Sus scrofa: one gene and its partner. The protein of the gene in region 2 purifies or fractionates together with the protein of the main gene of each other region. This does not show direct contact. Links are inferred from orthologs where the notes say so. Each region holds a gene or a part of one and is shown on either strand. Other genes may lie near its edges.

What was found.
Region 1: the proteins of MTMR9 (region 2) and ATPIF1 purify together in Homo sapiens (affinity purification with mass spectrometry; 5 studies listed by BioGRID and IntAct, with this or other methods). This does not show direct contact. The link is inferred for Sus scrofa from reciprocal best matches to the Homo sapiens genes MTMR9 and ATP5IF1.

The regions. Positions count from the first base shown.
Region 1 is NC_010448.4:85,305,771-85,309,717, reverse strand, and holds ATPIF1 (ATPase inhibitor, mitochondrial precursor), read right to left. Parts: upstream 2,477-3,947; 5' UTR 2,447-2,476; coding exon 2,360-2,446; intron 2,266-2,359; coding exon 2,174-2,265; intron 773-2,173; coding exon 625-772; 3' UTR 507-624; downstream 1-506.
Region 2 is NC_010456.5:14,499,472-14,502,983, reverse strand, and holds part of MTMR9 (myotubularin-related protein 9), read right to left. Parts: intron 3,462-3,512; coding exon 3,298-3,461; 3' UTR 1-3,297. UniProt on the Homo sapiens protein: Acts as an adapter for myotubularin-related phosphatases. Increases lipid phosphatase MTMR6 catalytic activity, specifically towards phosphatidylinositol 3,5-bisphosphate and MTMR6 binding affinity for phosphorylated phosphatidylinositols.

The DNA.
Region 1 (3,947 bases), on a different chromosome or scaffold from region 2:
TTCCTGTTTTCCAGGCTACTCTTGATCTTACACTTTGGATTGAGGTTTATCCAAGCTCTCTGAAAACCTCTTTTTTTTGGAGGGGTGCACCTGTGGCATATGGAAATTCCCAGGCTAGGGGTCCAATCAGAGCTGCAGCTGTGGGCCTACATCACAGCCAGACTCCAGATCGGAGCCATATCTGCAACCTACACAGCCTGGGGCAATGCCAGATCCTTAACTGAATGAGGCCAGGGGTTGAACCTGCATCTTCATGGATACCAGTTGGGCTTGTAATCTGCTGAGCCACAACAGGAACCTCTGAATAACTTGACTGGCGTTAAGACATGGAAAGGGGCCTTTCCATTCTGTGTCACACCAGTAACCTCATGTTGCACAGCACTCATCACACTGTGCTTCATCTCCCAGTCCCCTACCTCAGGAACCCTGTCTGATTTATTCTAGTGGTCCAGCAGTGTGCTCCCCTACCCCTCTGCAGATAGTAGAAGGCATTAGACACAGTGCACTGATACAATTTATTGTAATTTGTTGGCAGCACACAGATAGCTATTAATTAAAACCAGAATGATGGCTACATAGAAGTGGGCAATAACAGGTGCCCATTTTATGGGTAACTGTGTGCACTTAATCATCATCATCATTTTTCAGTTTCTTGATTGACTGCTTGTGCCGCTCAATTTCTTTCTGCAGGCGCTCAATCTCCTTCACGTGATGAGAGATCTCATTTTCATGATGTTTCTTCAAGGCTGCCAGTTGTTCTCTAGCCCGAGCTCTACAAGGACACAGTGGCTCTTGGTTTAATCCTAATCCTTCACCCTAAAGAGATCTCTAAGCATAACCTGAAATACCTAAGGTAAAGAACAGGAGTCCCAATCCCATTGGGGTCTGGCTGGTCATCCTCTTCTACCCTCTCAGGCCCCGCTACAAAAGAATATTCCATCTTAAGATGTATCATTTCTAGATGGCCATAATGATTCCATTTTCCTGGTGCCAGTGTCTGAAATTTCACCACTAAGGAGCAATTCCCTTCAGAGTCCTTTTTAGAGTAGAAAACTCCAGAAAGGTGTGACATAAGTCTCTAATAGGGGGACTTATTAGAGAATAACACATAGAATCCCTTTTGGGGTGAAAAAAGAGCAAACGGTGGGGGGAATGTACAATGGGGTACCGTTAAAGGACAAATATATGTGTCCTATCCCAGTTTTCTTTGCCTGGGAAATGCAAGGCCCACTGTAAAGGTCAAAATGAAGGGGGAAAAAAAAAAAAAAAAAAAAGAAGGGGACTCTTGCAATGCCTGGCAGTCCAATGTAGGTCTCAAGAAGGGATGATTCAAACGTTGGTTCGGCCATATATGGGCCTCAGTTTTCCTTAACTATAAAATGTAGGAGGCCAATTAGAGGTCTCTAAGGGCTGCACCTTGTCTCTCTGGTATGGTAGCTGTTATGGTGATAATTCTTAAGAGTGAGCAGGAGAGGGTAGAAGTGAGAAGATAGGCCAAGAATCGAGATTAATTCCACACTGCTCCTCACTGTGGTTAGCAGTCCCTGTGAGATAACTCAAGGTTGGTAAACAGAGTATATAGGCCCAGCCCACAAGAAGCGGGGAGGGTTCCAACCAGGAGCAGCTGCCACATGCTCCTGCAACCCACTAGCTCAGGCAAGTTGGAGAGGTGTGAGGATCTAGAAATGGCTGAGAGGGTCTGAGGTCAGGGAATCCATCCATGCGGGCTAGCAAAGCGAAGGCCTGGGTGATGGGTGGGGGAGGCCGGAGGGATAGGCTCAGAGGGTCTGCACGTAATTGGAACCTTCGGATCTAGACTCTCTGGGAGGAATCTGGGGGGCGTTTCGCATGACGCGGAGAGAACTCCACGGGCGGAGATGGTAAATGATTCAGGAAGAATTGAGCCGTGTTGGCGAATTCTGAAGACTCGCAGGTGGAAATGTCTTGGGTTTGGGGGCCTTGGGATTCGGCAGGGCAGTGGGAACGCCCTATAGGTGGCAACAGTAGGGCCATCAAACGATGAGTGTAGTGGGTCGGGGCTGGGAAGTTCTGTTGGGAGATGGGACGCCACAGAACACCAGGGAGGGCAGCAGGGTGGGGCCGTTGGCAGTTTAAGAAGGACTGGAAGGCCGTGAGACTTCCAGGGCTGGTCTCTGGGCCCCTTGGCTCTCACCGGAAGTATCGTTCCTCATCAGCCTGCTCTTTCTTTCCGAAGGCTCCACCGGCGTCCCGGACTGCACCCGCACCGGAGCGGACACCCTCTGGCTGCGGAGAGAGACCGGAGCATTGGTAAAGGCGAGGAGGGAGAGATGGGAGTCCCCGCTCAGGGATGGGGTAGCGGGCACTGCCGCCGGCGTACCGTATCAGAGCTGAAGCCTCGGCTTTGCATGGCCCAGACACTCCACGCGCCGATCCGCGAGCGCACCGCCAACGCCGTGGCTGCCATTGCTGTCAGTGCAGTACCTCTCCAGTGACCCGAGGTGCAGCTCCTCTGTACGCTAACGGCGCTGCTGGCCGGGAAGCCAATTGTTTCTCTGGAGAGGCGGGATGAACCCAGGAATAGCGAATCATGAGAGGGGGAGGCGGGGTTCCTGTGGCTTACAGCGAATCCTGACCGAGAGGCGGGCCTATTCTTAGCCAACCACTCGCAAGGGCTCCAGGGTCAAAGGACTGGAGGAAAGCAATGGAGGAGATTGGGAAAAACAGGAGCAGAGGGTCAGAAGGCGAGATTTCGGCTCCTGAAGCTATTAGATTTAGGCATGTGTCCATCCCTCCCTTACGATTCCAATCCTAAAGTTGTTATTTTTAAACACCCAAAGGAAGTCTTCCCTTTCCTGGACTACTAGCATCAATAAGATGGGTACTACGCTAGTGAGAGTGGGCAGCTTTGTCCAGGATTCCTTGACTTAGTCATCAAGACTTGTGAGCAAATTTTCTTAAAAAAGTATGTGTATATGGTTAGTGTTCTTTAGTTGCGATGGCATTTCACTCTCAAGTCTCAGTTTAAATGTCAGTTCAGAGAAAACTTCCCTGACCTCCTATCTTAGCCTCCTATTTTGTTCTTTCTCTCTTGCACCTTTGATCTTATGAAGTTAATAGGGCCTTGGTCAGTCAAGTAGGCTTTGAATTAATATTTGCAGGATGCATTGATATGTTATCAAATGGGCTGTATAACAGGACTTTTGGCAATGTGATGCAATGAAGAGGAAAAGCAGAGTCTAGGTAAGGCTTTGCCTTGACCTTCCTTGGCCATCTAACAAATGTGATCAAGATAATAGTAGTTTATGGCCTTTGCCTGGGTTATTTTCCTTTTCTGGGCCCAATTTTTTCTCCTTTAGATGAGAGGGTTGGGCTAGATCTTATTCATGACTTTAAAAATATCTTCCTTGGCTTTCTATGAAAGTGTGGAACTGTTTTTATTGATCATCTTTTGGTTTGAAAAATACCAGCCCTGGGTTATATGACTTAAGTAGAAGGAAATGGCTGCAAGGTACATTTCCAAATGTTCATTACAGAAAACTTGGAAAAACACAAAAGCAGGAAACAAATAATAATCACTCATAAGCCTGCTACCTGGTGATAAAAATTTGGAGTGTTTCTATATATTTAAGGGCCATTCCCATTTCAGACACTCTGATTTTAGTCCTCAGATACTACTATTTTTTGATTGTTTCCTAGGTGGTATCCAGTGGAGGGTCCTGCTGAGTTTGTGCAAAAGATTGATCCAAGCACTATGATGCAGGCTATAATTTTTTAAAAAATGGAAAATAATAAGCATTGGTGAGGATGTGGAGAAATTGTAGCCCTCCAATGGGTTAGCTACTGTGGAAAACAGCTTGGCAGTTGCTCAAAAGGTTAAATATAGAATTACCGTATGACTCTGCAACTTCATTTCTAGGTATATCCCCCCCCATTGGAAACGGATACTCATACACATGTTCATAGTA
Region 2 (3,512 bases):
TTAAGACTGACAATTAAAATAGTTAATCTTGAAACCGGTAACTCCAGGAATTACATCTCTAAGCAGATTTTTTTTTTTCTTTAAATGCAGCAAAATGTTGCTCCTATTTTATCCTTCAAGAGATAATTACTGGTCAAATCTTTTCCATGATATTGACATTTTTTTAACATTAAATACTGACTGAATCAAAGACTAAAATCTCACTAAATTTCATCCTTTAAAATTTAAAGCAGTGACATCACCTCTACAAAATCAGGCTTCAAAGAAGTTTTAAAATTCTCCATACAGATCTTAAATGACTATTGTCTTCCAAAGCTTTCCAAAAAATCTCTTCCAAAAACTTGCTTCAAAGGCCTAATTTTTCTTAGGAATAAAATTCATTTACAGGTTGTCTTAAGCCTATCAGGTTTTACAATTTCTGCTTGTCTTCTTCTCATATTAATGAAATCAAAATGAACATTTTTGAACAATTACTGAAGTCTACCACCCAAAGAGTTTCAACATTTGTATACAATCAACAAACTATTAATTTAAATCTAAGGATCCCTGTACTGATGAAAGAGGACTGTAAGCAATCCTTTGTATTTTTACAATATTCTTTGTGGGGCCCCCTTTATTGCATCCGCAAAATGTAAACCCAGCCTTCACTATAAATAAAGGCAGAAGATGCCTAATGTACATGAATTTGATTATATCTCACTCGATTATTACTGGCTTGTATGGGGCAATCTGCATGCTCACTAATTCAGCCACCATTCTCTTCATTAGAGTTTTTAAAGCCATATTTATCAAAGATAATTCTCCAAATAACCTTTAATAAATATCTCCTCATGATATTATCCATTGTATTTATTCTTTTCATCCAATAGATGAGCAACTTCATAGTATTACTAAAAACCCTCTTCAAGTTATATTGCTTTTAAAGCATTTGTCTTTGACAGAGTTCTCAAGTTTGGGTAAACTTTAGTATTTGCATTATTAGATGACCCCTTTGAAACTGCGCTGATACTATAGTTTGTTTTTACTCCCTATAAACAGCACTGAGGTTGGACAATCCCTAATTATAAATTAACACTAAAACTCATCTTGTCCAACAGTTTATGATTGCTGTCTCAATAAGAGAAAGAAGAACTGAAACACTATGCTATTGTTGTACTCTGGCTCACAAAGAAAATGTTCATCAGGAAGACAGGTATAAAAATGATAGCATACAGTTTCTCCATGACCAAGCTTAATAAAAACTCCCTCCAAAGTTTCCACCCACAGAAGAGTTATGGCCACATAATATCACCAGTGAGAGTCACTTCTAAAGCATCACTTTAAAAAAAATCTCTAGATGGTTTTCTTTATGGGCCCATTAAATGAGGGGAAAAAAGGCTCCTTCAATTTTGAGGGTCCATAAAAAAGCTAGACTGTTTCTTCTTTTAAAAAATTAATACAGGTGTTCCCTTATGTTATATCAGGTTAAGGACCCAGGCTTGTTGCTGCAGCAGCTCTGGTTGCTGCTGTGGCACAGGTTTTATCCCTGGCCTGGGAACAATTCACATGCCGTGGGTGTGGCCAAATAGTAATAATAATAATAATAATAATATAGACATTTCATATAGTACACAGATATCTATAGCCAGAAAGTCCATCTTCTTTGCGCCTTGTCTTAGCCTACAGGCGAGGGCTTTAATGCCTCAAGATTCATAACTATAGCCAAGAAAATAGGTCAGGAATAAAACTGAGCTTAGAGGAGAAAGCAGATAAGTTTACTAGAAAAGAGCTCTGACTATGGATCCATTGTCCAGCCTTTTGCTACAAGTCTGAGGAAACAGAAAAAAGACCAAGCTTGGGAAACTAGAGATAGAAACCTTTCTAAGGTTTCTGAATGTGGCCATAGCTTTTGCTAGAGTTGATTTTGAAGAACTGTATTTTTAACTCAATATATAGCTTTAAAGCAGAGTTCAGTTTTACTGTTTTACAATGAAATGGTTATATACAGATGGGATGGAAACGGTATTAAAGATTATTCTTCAACTACTCTTTTAAAAGAAAACATAATTGATAGTATTTGTTAAAACGAGCAGTGCCACAAAACAGAAATGTATATGGAAAGCACCAAACCACAAACTTTTTATAGTTGCAGGCATATACCAACCAGCATAGCATCAATATAGTCATCAATGTTTCTGTAGCATTGAAGCATTTCGAATTGGCTTCTGAAGTTTAAAACATAGCTCTATCATGTTCATAAACTTTCCCCTCCACTTAAATTATATTTGCCTAACATATAACGGACAAATCAAGAGTCAAGATAAATTTTCAAAAGGCTCAAGCCAACATGAAAAATTTAAACTCCTAGAATATTTAAAAATAAAACACAATGAAACACACACATACATACACCAGTGCAATAAGAACTTCAGACAAGGGCAGTGCATCTCTGGTTTAAGGAAACCACATTTGTTGCTTAATTATAACAACCTCTATTCTAAATGATGGTTTAATGTTACATCCAGCATTTGATACACATTTAATACGTATGGTCAAAACCCTGAAAAACCAATTCAACAGTAATATGATATCTTATCAGTAACAAATTCCTACTTTATTTCTATATTGCACATACTTTTAGTGTCTACTGTTAAAATAAATTTATCTTCTTAATGTAAATATCTGAGAATTATACCTGTTGCCCTTGTAAAAATAATTTACCTTGAGTAAATATTCAGATTTTACTTTCTTGATAAACTAGAATGAAGATGATTTCAGCTTTGTCAGTCCAAAACTGTTTTAAAGAGAATGGCTCTTTATGTGGCCAAGATATTGGAAATGGCATGTTAAACACAAAATTCTTGGTTTACTATCCATTTCAGGTTTGAAAAATATTTCTATATTTGGAGTGTTTAAAAGTCTGACCCTTTTTTAAACTAACGAATACTCCCCAAAGAGATCAATCATATCCTTGACTGGTCTGGAGCACTGTTTGGAAAAGTAGACACAGAGAAAAAGCTTATGTGTGATGAAATGGCATATAACACAAATAGCATTAAATGGGTCACCTGTTTCACATAAAATAAAATGACTAGCACCTCCTTCCTGCTCCCAAAGCGTAGAGGCCTAACAGGCCACGTGAAACATGAGTAAGTACAGTAAGCGTCATTCATAAAGTATTGAGGAATCCGTTACATCAGAAGGTCCTCACATCTAAAGCCTTAAGTTCAAGGCTACTGTGTGAGGGTGAACTGAAGGGCAAGGGAGAGAGGGGGGATACTGGACGGATGGTCCTTAGAGGCCTGCAGGAATCTGGAATCAGGGACTTTCCTGCATCCCGTCCTCAGTCTCCAGTTCTGCCAACTGCCTCCTAAGGATATTTACTTTTGCTTGTAATTCCTTGTTATATTCAATGATGTTAACCATCTCCTCATATGCTTCATCCAGATATTTGGAGGATCTGTTCCAACGCAGGAAAATACCTATTGAATCCATGAAAGGAAAACAGAAAGGGAAAAGATACACACAATGGA